Linked DNA regions of Diceros bicornis minor. The protein of the gene in region 3 interacts with the protein of the main gene of each other region in a pairwise test. Links are inferred from orthologs where the notes say so. Each region holds a gene or a part of one and is shown on either strand. Other genes may lie near its edges.

Evidence for each region.
Region 1: the proteins of EXOC1 (region 3) and SYBU interact in a two-hybrid assay, tested with the Homo sapiens proteins (2 studies listed by BioGRID and IntAct). The link is inferred for Diceros bicornis minor from reciprocal best matches to the Homo sapiens genes EXOC1 and SYBU.
Region 2: the proteins of EXOC1 (region 3) and TRIM9 interact in a two-hybrid assay, tested with the Homo sapiens proteins (2 studies listed by BioGRID and IntAct). The link is inferred for Diceros bicornis minor from reciprocal best matches to the Homo sapiens genes EXOC1 and TRIM9.

The regions. Positions count from the first base shown.
Region 1 is NC_080760.1:27,009,322-27,017,066, forward strand, and holds the start of SYBU (syntabulin), read right to left. Parts: upstream 3,016-7,745; 5' UTR 2,978-3,015; intron 1-2,977. UniProt on the Homo sapiens protein: Part of a kinesin motor-adapter complex that is critical for the anterograde axonal transport of active zone components and contributes to activity-dependent presynaptic assembly during neuronal development.
Region 2 is NC_080744.1:1,164,220-1,172,163, reverse strand, and holds the start of TRIM9 (E3 ubiquitin-protein ligase TRIM9), read right to left. Parts: upstream 3,016-7,944; 5' UTR 2,931-3,015; coding exon 2,109-2,930; intron 1-2,108. UniProt on the Homo sapiens protein: E3 ubiquitin-protein ligase which ubiquitinates itself in cooperation with an E2 enzyme UBE2D2/UBC4 and serves as a targeting signal for proteasomal degradation.
Region 3 is NC_080747.1:43,525,403-43,533,086, reverse strand, and holds the start of EXOC1 (exocyst complex component 1), read right to left. Parts: upstream 3,008-7,684; 5' UTR 2,856-3,007; intron 1-2,855.

The DNA.
Region 1 (7,745 bases), on a different chromosome or scaffold from region 3:
TACCAGAGGGGAAGCGGGGAGAGGGAGAGCGAAAGGGCTAAAAAGGCACATTTGTATGGTGACTTACGGCAGTTAGACTTTGGGTGGTGAACACAAAGTAGTCTACACAGAAGTTGAAATATAATGATATACACCTGAAATTTATATAATGTTATAAACCAATGCTACCTCAATAAAAAAATTAATTAAATTAAAAAAATAAAGTACTATAATATCAAACTAGGAAACTGACCTTAGTGCAATGTGCGTGTGTAGCTCTATGATACTTTATCACATATGTAGATTCGTATAACCATCATCACAATCAAGATAGACAGCTATGCCATCATCACAAAGATCTCCCTCGTGCTACTCTACTCCTTTACAGTCACAGACTCCTTCACTCCATCTCAAAGTCCTGCCAATCACTAGTCTGTAAAGTTACTCTTTTATGCTTCTTTCTTTTTCTTTTTTTTTTTTTTTTGTGAGGAAGATCAGGCCTGAGCTAATATCCATTGCCAATCCTCCTCTTTTTGCTGAGAAAGATTGGTTCTGGGCTAACATCCATGCCCATCTTCCTCCTTTATATGGGACGCCACCACAGCATGGCCTGACAAGTGGTGCATCCTCGTGTGCCTGGGATACGAAGCTGGGCCACGAGCAGCGGAGCGCGCGCACTTAACAGCTACGCCACAGGGCCAGCCCCTATGAGAAAGCCACGGGACTGGGTGTGAAGAGATGGCTGGTTCTAGGTTTGCCACTGGCTAATTCACACCCCTGGACAACTCTCTGCCAGCCCCAGTAGCTCATCTATAAAAATGTAAGTTTGGACTCTGTTTTTCAGGAAACTACCATTTAAGAACTCATACAGTTATTTGGTCTCAATTATATCACTTTAAAGACTATTAAATGCAAACCAAGTTAATGAAATATGATTTAAATATATGATTTAAATATATGGAGATCAACAAGGATTGAACAGTGTGCTTTAAATGTGTTCTGCATGAAAATAGTGTCATTACCAAATAACTTAAATAACCAAAAGCTGCATTGTGATAATATATCTCTGCTCTAAAACCTACAGCAAGTAAAAAAATAATTTCACTTGGACCCATCTCTCAAGGGGACAGGTGCTACTGTTCTCCCAAATGTACAGGTGGAGACACCTTGGCACAGCGATTACTTCTTTTGCCCCCAAGGGCACCTTTTGGGGAAGAAGCAGCAAACATCTCTAACATGTGCCTGGCCAAGTATCTGAGCTAGCAGTGCTGCAGCAGAAACTGTAAGTTGAAGATTCTGAACTGTGGGCTTCAAATTTGGCCCTTTTCTGAGAAGAGAGATTCAGACACTGGAGCTGCTCTTTGCTTCTGCTGCCCAGGGTCTGTGGTCGGGGCCAGAGGACCTGCAAGGAACCTAGCAGTGGAGGTGCCTGCTTTCCTTGACCTCACTGCTTGTTCAACACAGAAGAACATGATAAAAACAACAGGAAAGCAGCTTTCCCCAGGTGACTCCTTCCATTTAAAGCTTTAATAATCTTTTCCCACGCACCAGTTTAAGCTTACAGATCTCTTTCTCTGTACAATTTACCCATTTTACTTTTTTTTTTGGTGAGGAAGATTAGCCCTGAGCTAACATCTGTTGCCAATCCTGCTCTTTTTTGCTGAGGAAGATTGGCCCTGGGCTAACATCTGTGCCCATCTTCCTTTACTTTATACAGGACGCCGCCACAGCATGGCTTGATAAGCGGTGTGTCAGCGCCTGGCATGCGAACCCGCGAGCCCCAAGCCAAAGAAGGGGAGGGCGCCAACTTAACCACTACGCCACCAGGCCGGCCCCTACAGTTCACCCATTTTAAATTCAAACCTGTTGATGACACCCAGAATGTTTTGAGCTCATCAGCTGAGGCCTTCAACAACACATTGTTGAAAAATAGGTCCTCCCTCCTCACCTGAAACAATCTGTATGAAAAATCCCCAAGGAAGTAGAAACTCGAAAAGTGTCCTCCGGGGACTTTGGCATCCACATCTTTGGAGCGATCTACTGAGGCTTTCTTTTCGGATACCGTAAAGTCGTTACTGAACCTTCCTTATCAAAAGGCACCATTTCTAAGCCCCACTCCCGAGGACAATTAGTAAAGGGCGACCCAAAACCACTGGCCTGGTCAACCTTGCCTGTTGCAACGAGACGTCCAGCCCAACCGTCTCAGTCACCAATCAATCAGGGACGCTGTCCCTCAGTCTGCCTCTACTGAGTCTCCCTTTCCTGGATACCCCCAGGCACTGGAAGGGGCCTTCCCGGGGTCCCGAGCGCCCATCTCGGCCCTCATGGGACCGCAAGGATCAGTCACCCTTCCGTGCCCGGGGGCACTGACAGCAGAGCCCGCGCAGACGCCTGGTCTTACCCTTTCTCTGCCAGAAGGGCCCCATCGCGCCGTCCAGGAGGAGGCATCCACGCGCGCCCGAGTGGCCGTGGCCCCGCTGGGCCGGGGTCGGGTGCGGACGAGACCGGGCGCCGCCGCTGATGTGAGCTCAGGCTCGGGGAGTCGGGCCCGGCCCGCTCCGCCCGCGCCAGCCCGGGTCGGACACGTGGTGCCTTCGCCGCCCGCACGCTCGGGTCCCTGCGGCCTCTCGGCCTCCGCAGCCGCTGGAGCGCGGCCGGGGCTGCGCACGAAGCGGGGAGAGAGGCGGGGGACCAAAGGGCCGGCACCAGTAGGTGGGGCGCAGGGACGTGCCCCGGCGAGGGCTGCGCGCCAGGGGTTCCAAGGTCCTGCTCCCGGGGCTCCCGATCTGCAGGCTCGGCCCCTGTCGCCAGGGCCCCAGCAGCTTGAGCTGCAGGCTCTGTTTCCCGAAGCCGCGCGGGGGCGGCGCATTGCAGAGGCTCAGGGTTCCCGCCGGTTGAGGGAACCGGCGAAGGGGGGAGGATCTGCGGTGCGCGACCCCCTTCTCGCGCCTGCCCGGATCGGGCCTGGGGCCGGAGTCCGCTCGCGGTCTTCACTCACCCTAGTTAACGAAAACGCTGTCCCCGCGCTGGTGATGCAAACCACTGCAAACCGCAGCGTGGACCTGAGGTGCCCTTCAGGCCAGTCTCTCCCTGGGAAAATTCCTCTGGCGACCACAGCCTATCTGTCTGGGGGCAGCTCAGGAGGCACCGCCCAAAACTGGAGAGGAAGACTGACCTGCAGCCACAAGTTCTTTCCGACTTCACCTTGGGCGCCTCCTAAACAACGTGCCTCTGTCTGAATTTCCTGATCCTGGGGATAAACGTGGCCATTTACTTTCTAGCTCTCGGGGGAAAATGGCGATTGGGTTTAAAAAAACAAAATAAAATACTCCAGACTTCTTTAATAGCAAATACAGTGTAGATTAATTTGTATTGACTTTAAGAAAGGCTGAAGGAAACCTCCGAACTGGAAAGAAAACGGTTCTAATTTGTTAGTCCAAATGCAAAACTAATTCTTCACCCCCACTGCTGCTTTTCTGGGAAAGTGGGTTTTTGAAGAGCTGAGTGGGAAAATACTTTCTTTCCTCAGAATTGCCAGAGTGCCAGGTGGCCCCGTCAAGAACATTCAGCTTTGCTGAAGAGCTCCATGATGTACCTGGTTGCATCCTCCTGCCCCACCACAGCTAAGGGTCGAAGAGCAGCCACCACAGTCAGGCTAAAGGCTCTTCCAGGTGAATTTCTTATGTTACTTGCTTACTCTTAGATTAATCCTCATATTTACCCTAAAGGGCACTTTCTGTACAGAAGACTGCTTCTGGAGAACAGCATCCCTGCCCTTACGCTGACCCTCTTCTCTTTTTCCTGGCTCCCCTTCTCAGGCTATGCGTGAGAGTTTAGCACACACAGTCAGCTTAAGGTACAACCGACTTCTCTTTGTGTGTTTGAGAACTTTACAGTGCAAAGTTCATACAGTTGAAACCCAGCAGTCTTAAATTATTTATCTTGGCACATATTAAATGCATGAAACATTTTATTCTGTTGTTCCAACTCATTTTCCTCTGGTCATCCCTTCTCCTACTTCTCTCATCAGAGGCTCAGACTCTTAGGTTTCTTCTCTCTGGTGTTTTCTAAGTCTTGGAAACCCTCTCCTCCATTAAAAATGCAGATTCATAACACACTGGAACCCCATCACAACGAAAATTCTTCTTTCGCCAAATCTTGACATTACTAGATATTAGTATGTACCTTGCCCCCTCGCTCCCATTCAAGGTGGAACCAGTGAGTTTAACTCCCTCAACCTTCAACAGGGATAACCCCACGCCTTTGGCGTCTCGTCAGATCTGCTGTCTGCACCTGCATTTCCTTCACCAGCTATCTCATGGTCTCTTGGGACTGTGTCCTAGGAATTTGGTTTTCTCTCTTCTTTCTCTCCAGAATCCAAGCTTCAAGGCCCTCTGCATCAGATATTCCTGGATTATTTCTTTTGAATCCCTCTTAGTTCTTTATAAGATTGTTGTAAAGCTAAAAAAGAAAGTGCATGTAAAGTGCCATGGAAATGTAAGACTATTGGGTTTAAAGATAACCAGTCTCAAGCCCTTGCAGTTTTATAGCTTCCTTTGAAACAGGGATTCCAACCCGTCTGGAAGGAAATGTCATTAGATTTTTATCTAATGGGAGAGTGTGTGTGTGTGTGTGTGTGTGTGTGTGTGTGTGTGTGTGGTGAGGTGAGGTGGGATGGGGTGGTGTGGGATGGGTATGAATGTGGTAAAATGGGGAAGAGGGTTGGGTGATTTGGTACTGACGTGGAGTTCCTGAGTGGGAAACGCTAAGTGAACTAGAAGACGGAGGAGGAGGAGGAAAATCCTGTTAGGAATAGTTTTCATCAGAGTGGGCACAGTGCTGGCTGCTGTGGAACAAGAGGAGGCGCTTGTCCCTAGGAGCTTAGTTTCCTACTCGTTGTCCATATACGTCCTCCACAATGCATCTTCTATAAAATGACCTTCAGAATTAAGAATACAAAAATTTCTCTAGACAAATATCCGAGCACAAACTGCTGAACTCAGTCTTTCCTGGACATGTTACAAGAATACAGTGTATTGTAGAAACTGTTGTAGAATTCATTTTGGGAGTAAGGTTTAAACCAGGGGGTTTATAGAATCTTGGAGATGGAAGGGACTTTAAAAGATTATCTAATGAAGCCTTTGAGATGTTGCATCAATCGCGCTTCCTCAGTTCTTGATTCCCTGTTTCTTCTGTCTGGCACCCAACTCCTTCTCAACACCCATGTTTCCAAGCCAGGACTCATTCCTCTTGGCTGCCAAAAAAAGTCTTTATCTCTTACCTACTTGTTTCTTCCTAGATTCTAGACTAGAGAAGATTCTCTTTTGATTTCTCTAGACTTGAGAATAATGTTAAATAACCAGCTCACAAGTTGGAAGGTTCCAATGGTGCCCAGAAGCCACATGGTCCTATAAGAAACCCAAAGTTAAAGGAAAACAAATTCAGTTAAAGTGATTGCAAAGAAATGCCAGCCTTTCTTTTCTAGGGCTAAACTGTAATTGTCTTGCACTAAGAATATTTGAAGTTTAGTTTCTTCATTGCTTTTATCAAAATATGTAGAGCTAGTACCTGTCTGTAATTAATTTATTCATTCAGCAACATTTACTGAGTACCACATTCCAGACCTACCTTGTTTTTCCTTTTCCTCTTTCCATTGCCTTACAGCTTGTTTGTTAAAATGTGATTAGATTGATATGTTTCTCCTCCAAGTTGCCAGAATGGGGAGGAGCTCACATTTGCTGAGTGTGTATTATATACCAGGCACTAATTTACACCATCTAATTTAATTATTACATTTTTCTTAAGAAGTAGTTATTCTTAGTACACGTTCCTGATGAAGAAAAGAAGGTCCATGACTTGTTTACAGTCACAAAACTAGTAAATGGTGGAGTGGAGATTTGAACCCAAAAATTTTTGATTACTCTGTATTCTTTTTCATTGTGGGGGTTTTCTGGAGGCCATGCCTTTACTCAAAGAAATAAATCAAATACTAGACACTATTGCAGGATGGACAGGGAGTAGATTTGGTCATGTTTTGTGCTCTCAACTCAAACATGCCAGTAGCTTTCTCTTTTCCTATAGAAAGGGCTGGGCTAGAGTCTAACCAAAATGCTTGGGAATACTGGAGAACCATGTTAGATTCCCTTCAACTACACATATGAGATGAATATATATTAAAAAATACTCTGGAGAAAATTATTTTATATGACTATAAAAATACTTAAAGTATTAGCCAAGCCAACAACTTTTATTCATAACAGATAGGTTTAGTGAAATGAGATGCATGGTGAATTTCAGCAACTCATATACCCTCTCTGAGCCTGTAGTTCTTCCTCTATAGAACTAAACTAAGTAATAAACTAAGTAAACTTCATCTGTAGAACTAACACAGAAGTAATAATTATAATGCTCCAGCAGTCCGAGGTGTCATAGGAAACAATGGAAGCAAAAGTTCTTTGAGAACTGTAACTACATGTACATTATTGTATATGACAATAAGAAAATAACTAAATGGAAATTACATAGTGAATTAAGTGGAAAAGGAATTTTTTTTTTTTTGGTGAGGAAGATTGGCCCTGAGCTAACATCTGTTGCCAATCTTACTCTTTTTGCTTGAGGAAGATTGTCACTGAGTCAACATTTGTGCCAGTCTTCCTCCACTTCATATGTGGGACGCTGCCACAGCCTGGCTTGACGAGTGGTGTGAAGGTCTGCACCCAGGATCAGAACCAGCGAACTCCAGGCAGCCAAAGTGGAGTGTGCAAACCCAACCACTAAGCCACCAGGCTGGCCCTTGGAAAAGGAATACTTTATAATTCAAAAAAGTTTTGATCACAGAGTCATGAAGTTTTAGCATAAATGGACATTTTATAGATTATTTAATTTCCTGCATTTTACAAATGAAGAAACAAATGCCCAGAGAAAGGAAATTGTCTACAGTCAGATCATGTCCTTAAGAATAATGTTGAAAATTCTAAAATAAGAAAGTGGTACCATAGGACTAGGCAGAGTCAGTCAATAAATATTTGAGTACCTACTATATATCAGGCACTGTTTTAGATGCTGGGAATGTAGTGGTGAACAAAACAGTTTGCATTCCTTCTCTGCAAGATCTGATATTCTAATGGAGAGAGTCAGACTGTGTATATATATGCATATATACATATACATGGATTGTGTATATATATGTATGTATGTATCATATGTGAGATAATATTGGGTATAAGAGTGTGTGTGTGTGCGCAAAATAAAGAGAAACCAAGAGGCTATTAAGGTCATATTTTTAGGCGGGGCTTTGACATTAAAAAATCACAATAAAATCTACTGAAGGGAATTGGAAGAACAATATGAAGATTATGTGGGTCTCCCAGCTGTCAGCAAGTGTTAGAGTCAACCTCTCAGTCCAGGCACCTGACCCAGATTATTGCTGAGGAGACCCCACCTGGAGTCTTACCCCTTTGGAGCAGGACACAAGCCTGAAATATTTGGATAATTTAGCTGTACAATGAGCTAGATGTGATAATTAAATGAGATCTTAAGTTAGTTCCCTTGTGGTGGAAATGCCAGTGGTCTTTTGGAATGGTGTCTCAACCATATCCCTTAGCATCTTACTCGAGTATTTCATGTTCTCAATGAATTCTCTTCTTCAAAAAAAAAGTTGTTTCACTACTAATATGCTAGCCAGTGTTAGATGCTAGATATGCACAATCCCTAATCTCCCAAAGTTTAGATTAAATGTTTCTCCTACGTGCTCCCATAGCACTTTT
Region 2 (7,944 bases), on a different chromosome or scaffold from region 3:
TCAATCTAACAGATGATACGTGAATGTTAAAATCTGTCAGCTTTCTGCTTTATTTTTTTCTTGGCAGTTTAATAATCCTTAAATTGAGTGAAAAAAAATTATACCTACTTACTATTTTGGAAAAAATGTGCAAAAGATCAGGGAAGAAATGGTCTTTTTAAAAATGAACCAACATTCCCTTCCTAGCCTACTTATGTCATGTCTCCAAGGGCCCGAACATTATTCTTTTTTAGCAGACATCCAAATTTCAACCCAGTCCTCACCACAGTCTCAACTCACAACTTCCATTACTGAGAAAACAAATGGTTTAACATTTCAAATCTACATGAGCTGGACAGAGATTTAAAGGTTGCTTTTGGTCTTAATGGATAACGTATAGGCTCTTCTTCACAGAAAAATAATGCTGTGGTTTGACCATCCTAATTAGCCTGTGACTCTCAGTTCTTTTTCCAGGCAGGGTGATTCATTTCTTAGTTCCAAGGATAGTTTTGTAGGGCAATTCAACAAAAGCTATAATTAGCAGTTTAAGAGTGAAATCATAATAGGAAGAAAAAGCTGGCTGTGAACTGAAGTTTTGAAAACTTTCAAAATTAAATGTCATTTAAAAAAATTTAAATTCAAGTGTTTTAAAAATAGTGGCGTGTGCCTTATGGAACTCAAATTTGTGCTGAATTAAATCTCCATCAGGACTAACGTGGTTTAACGGCTTATATGTGAGAACACAAATGATTGTAAACACTGATCACATCCAATTAATACTGAGTTGAGAAAACCTCCTCGATTGCTGAAAATGGTGATTTTTTTCTTTCTTGCTGTAAATAAAGTATCAATGGCCTCTCAAAGGCCAGCCTTTCTAGTCTCCAAGGAATGCTGGGGGACCCTGAGCCGGGCGCAGCTGAGGCCTGAGCACCGTCCTTACCTCCCTGCCTCATCCCTGGGCTTGTGACCCAGTGAGTGAAGAAAACCTCCCTACAATGGTGCTGAACCCCTGCCCTGCCCTTCACACCCCGAGGTAAGTGGATTATTTGAAAAGTAAAAGTCAAATTTATGCACATCTCAAGAGTGGTTCCCTTCCTTCTGAGCAGCGTGGGCATAATGCTATAAAGATCTCTTTCCTCATGAAGCTTATTTTGTGTGTGTGTGTCGGGGGGTAGCAATAGATAAACACAAAAGTAACGTGATAATTAAAATATATAGCATGCCAGTTAGTGCTGAGGACTACTGAGAAAAACAAAGCAGGGAGCAAACCAAGAGGTGTCTGAGATGCGAAGCAGCAACTGTGGTCAGAAGGGTCTCACTGCAAAGACGACATCTGAGCCACGATCTGAAGAAGGCAGGAGTGAGCCATCCTGATACAGGGTATCGGGAAGCGTCTCAAGCTGCATGAACACCAGATGCAAAGGCCCTGGAGCTGAAAGGTGCTGGTGTGGCTGCAGCACAGGAACAGAGTGGGAGGAAATGAGATCGATGAGGTCAAAGGGGAACAGGTCGTGGAGGTGCTGGTGGCCTATTCTCAGGACAGTCTAAGAAACTTGGGGGCCACTGGAGGGTTTTGAGCAGAGGAGTGGCAGGACCTGACACGTTGTTGAAGGCTCTCTCCTTGAAGCGGCTTTGGTGGAGGTGCCAACGAGAGACCAGGAAGACAAGGTTGGTAACGGGTGTGCCACAGTTCGCAGACGCTACTGGGAGACAGGGGTTGAACCCTGGACACACGGGCGCGTGGGCGGCTGGAGGGGGGTCACCCGGGGGACACACTCGCCTGGCGTTCAGACCGGGACCCCTTCACGCCGGCTGGTGCGGCGACCCCCACCGCGCCCGCCGCTCCGCCCGGAGCGCCCGGCCGGGACCGCGTCCCCGATCGATCTTCGGCACTGCGCCCGCGGGCCTCCCGTCCCCGCCCGGCGCCCCCGCTGAGACTCCCCCGCCCGCCGGGGCCCGCGCCCGCTCGGCCCGGGGAGCAGCGCCCTCCCGCACGCCGGGGCGCAGCCCCGCCCCGAGGCAGCCCGCAGCCGCTCTGGGGGACGCTCGACGCCCCCGCGCTCCCCGCACTGCAGCGGGCGGGGACCGGGCCCGGCGGGGGCGCAGCGCGCGGACCGGCCGCAGCTCACCTTGTGCAGCTTCCACATGGCCCCCAGAGCCTTGACCTCGTGGCTGGAGTGCTTGCCCTCCTCCAGGCACTGGTAGCACACCGGCACCTTGCACTGCACGCAGTACATGCTGAGGTTCTCCAGCTCGTGGTCCGTGCAGGTGGACACCTTGCGCGGGCTCAGCCGCCGGCTCACGCGGCCCTGCGCCGGGGGCACCAGCCGGTGCTTGGCCAGCGGCCCGCGCGGCGGGTGGCAGCGCAGGCGGCACGGGTCGCAGTAGAAGACGTCGCACTGCTCGCACATGACGGTAGCCTCCTTGGGCGCCTTCTCGCAGAGCTGGCACTTGAGCGCCGCGGCCTTGCTCTGCTGGTAGCGGTCGATGACGCCCTCCAGCACGCGGTTCTTGGGGAAGCCGCGCAGCCCCCGGTCGTCCAGCACCAGGCTGCGGTGGCACTGCGGGCAGGTGATGCACGAGTTGCGGGGCACCGGGGCCAGCGCGGGCGACAGGTGGGCGGCGGGCGGCGGCACGGCGGGCGGGAAGACGCGCACGCCGTTGGGGGACTTCTGGCTCGGCGTGGTGGGCGCGCTGGCGAAGCCGCCGTAGGAGCCGTAGCCGCTGTCCGCCTCGCTGTAGAGGCTCATCTTGTCCAGGTCCAGGTAGTCGTAGTCGGAGGCGCCGGAGCCCGAGGCGCGCCGGCTGCGCGGGGACTCGGCCTCGGGCGTCTGCACCAGGATGTTGCGGGCGCACGCCTGGCACAGGTTGTGCGAGCAGGGCAGCAGGATGGGCTCGCGGTAGAAGGAGCCGCACACCGGGCACTTGAGCTCTTCCTCCATCTCCTCCATCGGGCCGGCGGCCTCCGGCTGGGCAGCCTCGGCGGGCCTTCCCGGCGCCTCCCGCGTCCCCTCCCGCACCGCGCTCTGCCGCTCGCTCTCTCCGGCTCTGCGAGGGCCCGCACCCCGCCGCCCGCTCGCCGCCCGCCCGGCCCCGCCCTGCGCAGCCGCCGATTGGACGGCGGGCGGGCGCGCAGGCTCTCATTGGCCTCACGCGCCGTCCTTCTCTCCCGCGCAGGCCCAGGGGGCTGGCGGGGACTCCGGGTGACTCCGGGTGAGGGGCGTCTGCGTTCCGGTGGCGGGTTCGGGGGAGGCGGGTCTCTAGGAGGGAGGACTCATCGTCGCCCCGTTTCCGGCGACCCTGGCGCCGTCACCGCGAGCGGGGCGTGAGGAGCCCGCCCTCACGAGGGGCTCCGGCCGAGATCTCCGGGCGGCCGCGCGGCCCGGAGCCCCCTCCCCCCCACCCTCCCGCAGGACCCTCTCCTCAGACCTCCCCCGGAGCCCCTCCCCTGATCCTCTCCCTGGACCTTCCCCTCGGACCCCCTCCCCGACCCTCTCCCCGGCACTCCCCCCGGACCCTCCCCTCGGACTACCTCCCCAGGCCTCTCCCCGGACCCTCGCCCCGATCCCCTCCCCGGACACTCCCCCCGACCCCCTCCCCGGACCCCCTCCCCGACCCTCCCCCCGACCCCCTCCCCGGACCCCCTCCCCGACCCTCTCCCCGGACACTCCCCCCGACCTCCTCCCCGACCCTCTCCCCGACCCTCTCCCCGGACACTCCCCGACCCTCCCCCCGGACACTCCCCCCGACCCCCTCCCCGGACCCCCTCCCCGGACCCCCTCCCCGACCCTCTCCCCGGACACTCCCCCCGACCCCCTCCCCGGACGCCCTCCCCGACCCTCTCCCCGGACACTCCCCCCCGACCCCCTCCCCGGACCCCCTCCCCGACCCTCTCCCCGGACACTCCCCCCGACCTCCTCCCCGACCCTCTCCCCGACCCTCTCCCCGGACACTCCCCGACCCTCCCCCCGGACACTCCCCCCGACCCCCTCCCCGGACCCCCTCCCCGGACCCCCTCCCCGACCCTCTCCCCGGACACTCCCCCCGACCCCCTCCCCGGACGCCCTCCCCGACCCTCTCCCCGGACACTCCCCGACCCTCCCCCCGGACACTCCCCCCGACCCCCTCCCCGGACCCCCTCCCCGGACACTCCCCCCGACCCCCTCCCCGACCCTCTCCCCGGACCCCCTCCCCGACCCTCTCCCCGGACCCCCTCCCCGACCTTCTCCCCGGACCCCCTCCCCGACCTTCTCCCCGGACACTCCCCCCGACCCTCTCCCCGGACCTCCTCCCCGACCTTCTCCCCGGACCCCCTCCCCGACCCCCTCCCCGACCCTCTCCCCGGACACTCCCCCCGACCCTCTCCCCGGACCCCCTCCCCGACCCTCTCCCCGGACACTCCCCCCGACCCTCTCCCCGGACCCCCTCCCCGACCCTCTCCCCGGACACTCCCCCCGACCCTCTCCCCGGACCCCCTCCCCGACCCTCTCCCCGGACACTCCCCCCGACCCTCTCCCCGGACCCCCTCCCCGACCCTCTCCCCGGACACTCCCCCCGACCCTCTCCCCGGACCCCCTCCCCGACCCTCTCCCCGGACACTCCCCCCGACCCTCTCCCCGGACCCCCTCCCCGACCCTCTCCCCGGACACTCCCCCCGACCCTCTCCCCGGACCCCCTCCCCGACCCTCTCCCCGGACCCCCTCCCCGACCTTCTCCCCGGACCCCCTCCCCGACCTTCTCCCCGGACCCCCTCCCCGACCTTCTCCCCGGACACTCCCCCCGACCCTCTCCCCGGACACTCCCCCCGGGTCCTCTCCCCGGACCCCCTCCCCGACCCTCTCCCCGGACCCCCTCCCCGACCCTCTCCCCGGACCCCCTCCCCGACCTTCTCCCCGGACACTCCCCCCGACCCTCTCCCCGGACCTCCTCCCCGACCTTCTCCCCGGACCCCCTCCCCGACCTTCTCCCCGGACCCCCTCCCCGACCTTCTCCCCGGACACTCCCCCCGACCCTCTCCCCGGACCTCCTCCCCGACCCTCTCCCCGGACCCCCTCCCCGACCCTCTCCCCGGACACTCCCCCCGACCCCCTCCCCGGACCCCCTCCCCGACCCCCTCCCCGGACCCCCTCCCCGGACCCCTCCCCGGACCCCCTCCCCGACCCTCTCCCCGGACACTCCCCCCGACCCTCTCCCCGGACACTCCCCCCGACCCTCTCCCCGGACACTCCCCCCGACCTTCTCCCCGGACCCTCTCCCCGACCCTCTCCCCGGACCCCCTCCCCGACCTTCTCCCCGGACCCCCTCCCCGACCTTCTCCCCGGACACTCCCCCCGACCCTCTCCCCGGACCTCCTCCCCGACCTTCTCCCCGGACCCCCTCCCCGACCTTCTCCCCGGACCCCCTCCCCGACCTTCTCCCCGGACCCCCTCCCCGACCTTCTCCCCGGACACTCCCCCCGACCCTCTCCCCGGACACTCCCCCCGGGTCCTCTCCCCGGACCTCCTCCCCGACCTTCTCCCCGGACCCCCTCCCCGACCTTCTCCCCGGACCTCCTCCCCGACCTTCTCCCCGGACCCCCTCCCCGACCTTCTCCCCGGACCTCCTCCCCGACCTTCTCCCCGGACCCCCTCCCCGACCTTCTCCCCGGACCCCCTCCCCGACCTTCTCCCCGGACACTCCCCCCGACCTTCTCCCCGGACACTCCCCCCGACCTTCTCCCCGGACCCCCTCCCCGACCCTCTCCCCGGACCCCCTCCCCGACCTTCTCCCCGGACACTCCCCCCGACCTTCTCCCCGGACACTCCCCCCGACCCTCTCCCCGGACACTCCCCCCGACCTTCTCCCCGGACCCCCTCCCCGACCCTCTCCCCGGACACTCCCCCCGGGTCCTCTCCTCAGACCTCCCCCCGGACCCTCCCCGGACCCCTCCCTGGACTCTTCCCACCCCGGCGGCTCCGCGGGCGGCTGTCGGGCGGCGGCGGCCGCGGGCTCCCTCAGCCTGAGGCGCGGCTCTGGAGGGGACAGGGACCGCCGAGGGTCACACTGTGGCCACGGGAAGGCCGGGACCCTGTGAAGACCGGTGCCCCCCCCCGCCGTGAACCCGGAGGGCGGCCCCGGTAAACGCGCCCCCGCTCCTCACGGCCCGCCTCGGCCGAGGACAGCCCGCCCCACCCCGCAGGGCGCGCCCTCGGGCCCGCGGGGCACCGGCGTGGGCGGGCTAGTGCTCCGCGCTCACGGCCACAGCCTGCTACCTCCCCCAGGGGGGCCACGTCACTGCGGGGTCGGCGCTGACTCCAACGGCCTTGTTCGGTGTCACGTGGCCGAGCGTCCGCGGTATCCGAGCGGGGGACGGCATCTTTGTTCCTGCGGTGAACTGGCGGTGGTGCTGGTGCTTGTGATGGTGCCTGGTGCTGGTGCTTGGTGCTTTTACTGGTGCTTGGTGCTGGTGCTGGTGCTGGTGCCTGGTGCTGGTGCTTGGTGCTGGTGCTGGTGCCTGGTGATGGTTCCTGGTGCTGGTGCTTGGTGCTGGTGATGGTGCCGATGCTTGGTGCTGGTGCTGATGACAGGGTGGTTCCAGTGTTGGTCCCCACGGACTAAGCACCCTTCCCCCTCTCCCCACACAGTGCTGGAGATTCCTGGTCCTGCCCTTTGCTGCAGAACTGTTGATTTCATGTTGGAGGACCCCCCCCAACAAAGAAAAATCTTTGAGTCAAGTGACATAGTGACATTTTTAAGTATTAACTTATTTGAAATAGTACGTCTGCCTTTTGCTTAGTGATTCATGAAATAAATGATAAAAAGTCTTTCCAAGTTCTAAGAAATCTTCCAATTTCCCATCTTCAAAAAAAGAGATAACTTGATTATGTGCAGCTATATTATAATTTAAAGCCACTTTACTGCCCAGAAAAAAATGGACCTTTTATGACCCTGCCCTTGGAGAAATAGTCCAATAAACTAGGTTATATTTCCAACACCTTCTCCAGCTGCAATAAAAACGGCACTTGATCACCGTTTGGGGGAAAAAGTTCTCATTGTTTTTTAAAGTTATGCTAATCATAAATGCTATGTGATTTATGTTTAACCTGGCTTTTAGCTAGTTGAGTCCAGAGCATCCAAAGGCGCATGTGCTCCGTTCACAGATGTAGAGTTTCTTCATGTGGGTTTGGAACGTTATCTGTATCTGTAGGCTACATCTAATTTATGGGTCCCAAGAGAGTTTGCTAATAACAAGTAGTTAATTATTAAGAAACTTAGAAAGGACTGTCCGCACCACTCATAAGTTACAGTCCTTTCTGTGACTTTTGTATGCATTTGGCTGAAAGTCACAGTAGCCTTTGGCCAGGGCTTTGGACGTTCCACCGTCAGCAGCTGTTACTCTTTTTGATGAGTCTGAACTTTGCTTATCGCAGTATACCATCTGCTCAAGACAACGTTTACCTCCCCCAAATTCATATTGACAACTACAAAGCAAATTCGCTGCTTACTTTACCCTGAAAATGAGTTTATTCCGGAATAGCCAAAAGAATTGCAATTTTGGATGCACGTTCTGTGGCAACCGATAGTTAAATCCGGAAAACAAGGGAGAGGAGCTCCTTTTATGGAAAAAAGGGGGAGCAGGGAGGGGCTGTTCTAAAGGAAAGTCCGTGGGGGCAGAGTGACAGTTCAGGGCGCCAACGGCTTCTCCTTGGCTGAGCTGGGGCATTTCTGATTGGCTGAGCTGGGGCATTTCTCATTTGCTGAGCTGCAGCATTTCTCATTGGCTGAGCTGCTGCGTTTCTCATTGGCTGAGCTGCAGCATTTGGGATTGGCTGAGCTGCAGTGTTTCTCATTGGCTGAGCTGCAGCCTTTCTCATTGGCTGAGCTGCAGCGTTTGTGATTGGCTGAGCTGCAGCATTTGTGATTGGCTGAGCTGCAGCATTTGGGATTGGCTGAGCTGCAGCATTTGGGATTGGCTGACCTACAGCA
Region 3 (7,684 bases):
ATGGGAAAATGAAGAAATTATGAGTTTTAAATAAATGACTTAGAAAGAATCTTTATAACACAATGACACTTCTGTAAACTAGGTATCTCCTATATTTTACTCAATCTGTGAAACTTCTATCTCTGCTCCAACTCACAAAATTGCTTTTCTCACAAAAATCACATCTTCCCACTTCCATCCCTCTTTTATCTCATCTCAGCCTCTAGTCTTCTAACCATCTCCTCCTTCCTGTTTTCTTAGTCTATCTGGCCTCTCCAAGCTTAATTTCTTTTCCAACCTAGCCTACAGTCAGTATTCACTTCCCTACACCCCCACTCTCCCCTTCAATTATCTTATACTGTTTGTAGACCAGTGCACCTTGTTTATCAATCTCCATAAACTGTATTTTTTCCTCCACTTCTCTTGGGCTACCATATGCCACTTAAGAAGGCCACATATCCACGTTCATTGCATTCATTACAAATATCTAAATCCAGTCAAAGCTAGACTTTCAATGGTGCTCAGCAATTCTTTAACACTTCCTTTGATAATTTTTCTTCCTACTCTCCATCAGTCTTGTTGCAAATCCTTATTTTTCTCCTTCAGACCCCAACTTTAGTGCCAGCTTCCTCCCTCGCTGCAAATGACTTCACCATCTACCCTGCAGAGAATATAGAAGCCATGAAGTAGAATTTTCCCCAATGGCTTTCTTTTCCATCTCTCTACATTTTCACCCATCTTAACCTCCATTCTTCCTATTACCAAATGTCCATGTTACTAATCTCTTACTATGTCCTAGGGCTTACACACTTTGTTAAAAGCTCTACTCCATCCTACCCCCAAGTCACACTGGATACTGGCTAGTTTACTTTTCTATCTCTGGGCTTTTGTTCATGCAATTTCTTTTTCCTGGAATTCTTTTCTTCCTGGGAAAACTCCAACTCATCCTGCAAGATCCTGCTAAAACATCTCTCTTCTGTGAAGCAGTCACACACACACAAAGAATTCCTTTTCTACTTCTCTAACATTTCCTCTCTGCTCTGCTAACATACCACTTACAAACCATATTTTGTAGCTAGTTGTATTCTCTCCCCCATTAAAAGTAGCTTCTGTAGGCAAGGACTATGGCTTATTCATCTTTGTATACTTAGAACTTGCCAAAGATATAACAGGCATTTAAAAAATTAGCCAAAATGACAGCACCAAATAACATGACAATTATAGCTTCCCTAAGGTTCCCCCTTCCCAACTCTCACATCTGTAAGCAAACGTCCAGGTTCAAAATCTGTCATATGTGATTCTCCTCCTCCATTGTCAACATGCAATTTGCTACCACATTGTTGATTTCCCCTCAGCTACACATAATTTATCTTTCCTTTCTGATCCCACTGTCAACACACTAACCCAGGTTCACATCAACTATATCTATTTAACACTACTGTATCTGGTTAGCTCTTTGCAAACTTCCACAACCCAAAAGCAAATAATAACATTAAAACACAGCTTTCACGACAACATGCCCTTGCTCAACATTTTCCTAATCTTCCCAAATACAAACCTTCCACTCCAAGCCCTCTGTTCATTCGGTCTTTAAACCTTTGCTTAGGTGCTTTTCCATGCAGGGAATAGCATCTATCCTAATTACATGGCTTGGTTTATATGAAGTTGATTCAATACAGATCTTAATCCAAATTGATCTCTCCTCTCAATTGCTACAGCACGTATTGTATTTACTAAACAAGCACTAATTGGTTCATGAGATCATAAGCTCCTGGATCTCAAGAACTTTCCTGAAAGAGAAGTGAGGGAAAGAGATGCTCTAGCATAGTGTTTTGTTCTTTTTTAGCAGGTACTCAACAAATACCTCTTGAGGTAACCTGAACTGACTAGTAAAAACTGGTCAAATGAATGACCAATAGTAGCCAGCATCTACCACACAGCCCCTCTTTGATCAAAAGCAACCACTGACTGTATGGTAAGGGGTAAAACAAGAAAGGACGGGGCATACCTCATAAAGGAGTTAGGCATAATGAAACGCACTATGTGACTCTCATTCACTCAGCAAATATTGATGCCTCCTAAGCACCAGACACTATTCTAGGTTACAGGGGTGAACATGACAGACATATTCACGAAGACAGGAAGATCCACGCCTCCAATGGCATTTACATTCCACGGATCGAGTGATTAATTCTCCAGCCTGTACAGTACCTTTTTGTAAGTCAGTGAATAAATCACTAGAGGTCCTCTAAAACTATTTTCCAGGTTTAAGAACCATGTCTGACCACGTTCCAAGGGCAGTCAGCCACAATACTGTGTTGGTTCTTGTTTCTTTAAATTCATTTGGATCATTCCACTGCGTGACAAATAACTTGTCAGTGTCAGTGTCCGTGCGGGTTGGGCCCTGTATGCTATCGAGACATCAATGCGCGTGGAGCACTGTCATCCAGAAAACTGTGCACGGAACCAGGGAAATGCACTTAAGAGATTTAGACGAAAATGTTGATTTGGACAATGAAGGGGAAGGCACTGTCACGCCCTCCTCTCCTGGTCCACGCCAAAGAGCAAACGATCAGGGTCGGTTTTTTTACAAATGAAATCTGGTTCCTCTGGGCGGAACCGGAAAGGGATGTGTAAAGATTGCCCTCCCAGACCCCAGGACAGCAAGGGGTTGGGGGATGCTCCGACTGGACTCTGCGCCTTACCCAGACAGGCAGGGAAGAGAAAGGGGGCCTGACGGCGGAGCCAGCGGTATCCGACCCCGGGCGCCGAGCCAGCAGTGGGACTAAGGGTCCGCCTTAGACTCTGGCGCCCGCCAGTCCGCTCGTCTGTCCGCCAACGCCGGGACCACTGCGCAGCCGCGGCCCAAGGCTTACCGCAAGACCGGACCGAGCCCGGCTGTGCCGAGGCGCGTCCTCCCAGACGGAGACTGGATGCGGCTGGGGCAACCACCGTGACAAAGATGTTCCCCTCAATTGAGCGGTGGAGAGGACGCAGCCGTTCCGCCACCACTTCCCATATCCGGGCACGTGACAAGCCTCCACGCCGGAAGTCGACCCCGTAGAGGAGGAAGGAGATGCGGCGGTGGGCGTGGCAAGGCGGGGCAAGCTCCCGCCGGAGGGGCGTGGCAAGGAAGGCAGGGGCGGGGCCTCTGTCGCTCTGAGAGTGACTAGGGACCTGGGGATTTGGTGCTGCGTATTACTTTCTCTAAAAGAGTTATTTATTCAGATATTTTCAGCAAGTCATATAAGAAGAGATCCGATGAAGTATTTTCTTTTTTGCATGTGTAAAGCTCTGTTAACTCTAGATCCTTGCTACTTATTGCATGGAGAGTTTAAATGAGTTAAATCAGAATCTCTGGGGCACGGGACCCAGACATCAGTACTTTTAGTATCTTCTGAGAAGATTCTACTATGCATCTACCGTCGAGAACCACTGATGTAGTGACCCTGATATTCAAAAGTGTGGTCCGCGGACCAGCTGTTTGTGCATCATCTGGCTTTTCTTTAGAAAATGCAGCCTCTCCCGCTTACTTCAGATCTACTGAATTGGCATCTGCATCTTAACAAGATGACACCTATGCACATTTAAGTTTGAGAAGCACAGATGATGCCAGTGTTGCTGGTTGCAAGGCAAGTGATTCATTTATTCCATGTTCTTGGCACCTGTTTTATGCCAGGCACTTTGATCGAGGTGCAGAGGTGATTCAGACAGGAATCCTACCCTGCAGATGTTCACAGTATGGTAGGGCTAAACAAGATATGCATACAAATATGTATAAAATAAGACAAAATAAGTGACCAAGAGGTACCGGTCAGATAAGTGCTGAGAATTCAAAGGAGCGATTTCTTTGCTCCTGCTCAACGCAGTCCTTTGCAAGGGTTCTGCAGGGATCCATTCATGCATGCGTTCATTTATTTGACAAACAGCGCCACCTCTATGCCAGGCACTGTGTTAGGTGCTGAGATACACTCAGAAGGGGGCACACTCTCATTGGGGAGACAGAATTAAATAGAAGATGGATAAATTACAGTCTAGTGAGGTAAACCCAACAACAAAGGTAGAAAAAAAGAGACTAAGTACCACGGGAATGCAAAAGAGGGAGTAACTCACTTTGTCAGGGATGGATTCACTGAGAAAGGGACAAATGAGCTGTGCAAAGTATCTTTCAATGTATCAAGATACAATTTGGTGGAAAAATCAGCAGAAATAGTAGGGACTTGTTTGCTACTGAGATCAATATGCTCTAGTCAATGCTACTTGGAATGCTTTTCAGTTTCATTGAATGACTTCCCTTCTAAGAGCAGGATCTGTATCTAATCCTATCTTTACAAAGACTCCTTAGGTCCTTCCCACTCAGTCTCAGAACACTTACTATGGACACTTTTTATATGACAATTGCATGTGCTATTTTGTCCTATATCTTTCTTTTTACGTGTGTATTTACTGTCCTCTTCAAAGTTGAGAAGTGAATTGCATTTCAGGAGCCTGGACTTCTTCCCTGAACTCCAGATTTGTGTATCCATTGCCTCCTCAATACTTCCACTTGGATGTCTGTTGGGCAGCTCAAACTTGTGTGTCCAAAAATTAAATTCTCCTCTCTCCTCTCCCCTTGTGGATTCCCCCAAAAGTAGAGGCTGAAACAAAGAGTTATGTGCAGTAGTTTATTTAGGGCTTTGATCCCAGAGAGCAAGAGTGAGAGAAGGGGGAGGGGAAATAACACAAGGAAGAGGGAGAGACAATATAAGGCTGTGTTATCGAGTTGGCATCATCATGTTTGAATGTTTTCTTGATCCCTTGGGACCAAACTTCATGAAAGAGTCTCAAAACAGTCCACTGAAAGCTCTGTCCTCTGTCAGCTCCTGTCCACCTTTGATCAAAGGTTAATGCTCCTGGGCATTGACTACTCCACACTTCCAAATTGCAGCATTGTGAATGCCAAGCTGACTCCCCCATCACAGAAGTCCTGAGGCAGGAAGTAAGAGGAGAGGTGCTGTCATGGTGTACTTGCCCAAAACTCATCAACCTCTGTTCAGAACATGTTGCTGCAGCAGTGGTTGGAATAAGAAGATGAAAGGATTTGAAGTAGTGACAGAAAATACACAGAAAGACACAGAAGGTGTCCATTTCAGTCCACTCCTTGTACCATTCGTATCTGCTTGTGCCCTGTTAAGTCTAGTCCTTTACAGAGGCCCCTTCAAGATGATGGCCACTCACAATCTCTGCAAGGACTTAATATAAGAGAGTTAGTGGAATAAGCTTCAGTACCTACTGCTACACTGAAGCCAAGACCTTACTTGTATTCATTAACTCCCTCCTCTACTACCCATTCTAATGTCCCTTCACTGTTGGCTAGCACATCAACTGATCTAGGTTGTTTCCCTGATGAGGTAACCCAGACCTTCAGCTTTCATTTTCCTTGCTCTGGTTAGGCCATGATTGCCTGTGCAACTTATCCCTGGGTACAGAAATACCAAGATAAACCCCAGTGAATTCCTTGGATTCCAGATTTATTCCTCCCTACTGCTATTGTGTAGTAGCAATCCCAGACTCTTTTGCTAATCGCAGTTGATTACTCCCACCAATATAGTAACTCTTTTCTTTGCCAGCTGGTCTACTGCCATGAAAAGCCCAAAGAGACCAAGTGATAGTGAGAGAGTTTCCAGCTCAGTGCATTCCATCCTGTGTATTCTAGGGGTAGCATCCTCCACCCAACCCTTGGGGAACTAATTATAGTAATCTAGCAAAGCCTAAATTTGAGAGGCAGGAAACACAAACTCTGTAAGTGGGTCACTGAGAGTGATGTTAAAATAGGCCAATCCTGCTCCTGGGTTTCTGGAGTCACGTCTTTAGCTGTTGGGGGTGCTCTCTATTGGTTGGTTTCGAGCACTTACCACATCCTGTAGGACAACACTCCAATCTCAGGCAGGCACATTAGCTGAGCCAGTAACAAGTCATTCCACCATTTTTATAATGCTGGCTGCTTCTGAGTGATGAGGGATATGACAATATCAGTGGATTCCAGGGTCATGTGTATGTTGTCACTTTTTTTTTTTGACTGTAAAATGTATTGCTTGGTTGAGGTAATGTTAATCAGGAATGGTATAATTCCAGTGATTGTGGATGTTGGCAGAGTCCCTTCAGGCAAGAAAGACAAACCTAGGAATCTGTAAATATTTTTACTTCAGGTCACTTCTCTTTATATACAAAGCAAACAATGAAGAATACTGCTCCAAATTCTGCCAACTGGGAAGGTTCCCCTTCAACTTTGTTCTTTAAAGCCATCCCTAAATGGGCTATAGTGCAGCAGCAGTCCAATTTTGCCTACCCACCAGCATCATGTGCCAACCCATCTGTGAACCAGGCTCAATTTTTTTATTCTGTGTTAGGTATTCGTGGGGAACTCTAAGAGGCCATGGGAGTGAGTTGAGAAAGAAATATCAGTGCTATAGAAGTGCCATGGGAGTCTGAGTTATCCATTCATGTAATTTATTTGTGTCTTCTGGACCTGCTCAGCCTCAATCCTATACCGTTTCCGTACTTCAGTAGGTTGCTGCTGCCGCACCCATGCACTTATGACTTGGTGGATCTGGTAATATCCAGCTCATGATAGATAGCTCTAGTTTCCCCAGTGGAGAATAGTTCTCTGCCTCAGAAGGCATGGCCTTGGAGAACTCTTGGGAATCTGTGCTGCAACTCTCATACTGGGGGCCTTCCAGAAATTTCACGCAGCGCTCTTATCCATCACAGATCCCTCCAGCACCATTAGATCTGCTAGAACAAATGGCCTAAGCATTAGGCAACTTGCGTCACAGCCCTTCTGGGCAACGTATGCAAGTAATGAGTACTTTAGTTTCACAATAAGTTCATTACAACATCTTTACTTCTGGGAAACATATTCTAGTGGTGGTTCTTTAGTCTCACATAATAAATTCATTCTGACATTCCTGCTTCCCTGAGTCTTCTGATTCCTTTCTCAATACTTATTCAAAGTTGTTCTAACAATCTCATTTAGCACCGGCCATCATCATACTCAAGCTTTCAGGAGGTACCAAGGCTATGTGTTAGGACTGACTCCAGGTGTCCTTGCCAAAACATTAAATCCAGATCACAGGTAAATGGCACTATCTCTTAAGTTTTCTCTTCCAGCCTTATAACCCGATTCCTCTGTCTGATACTCTAAATATTCACTCTCACACATATTCCACTGGTGTCTATTGGTACATAATAGCCAGTTTTGCAATTCCTTTTGAGTTAGTCTATAGTTTAGTGGTTTTCAACTGGAGGGTGATTTTGACCCCCAAGGGACATTGGGTAATGTCTGGAGACATTTTTGGTTGTCAATACTGGGAGGGTTCTACTAGTGTCTAGTGGGTAGATGCCAGGGATGCTGCTAAATAACCTACAATACAGAGGACAGCCCTCCACATCAAAGAATTATCCAGCCCAAAATGTCACTAGTGCTGAGATTGAGGAATCTTGGTATAGTTCTCTTTAGAGTAGGGATTACAATCCCCTGCATGGGTTGTGCCGTGATCTGACTCTGGTTACGGGCTTGAAGCCATGAGGGTAATGGGGGTGGTTATTGAGGAAAGTAAGGTCATATCAGGAGGCACTTGCCCACATATTTTTTTTTTGTGCAGCATTTCCAGACAAGAAGAGGCTGCTTTCCTTTATCAAGAGGAAGGAGACTGTTGGCACAGAG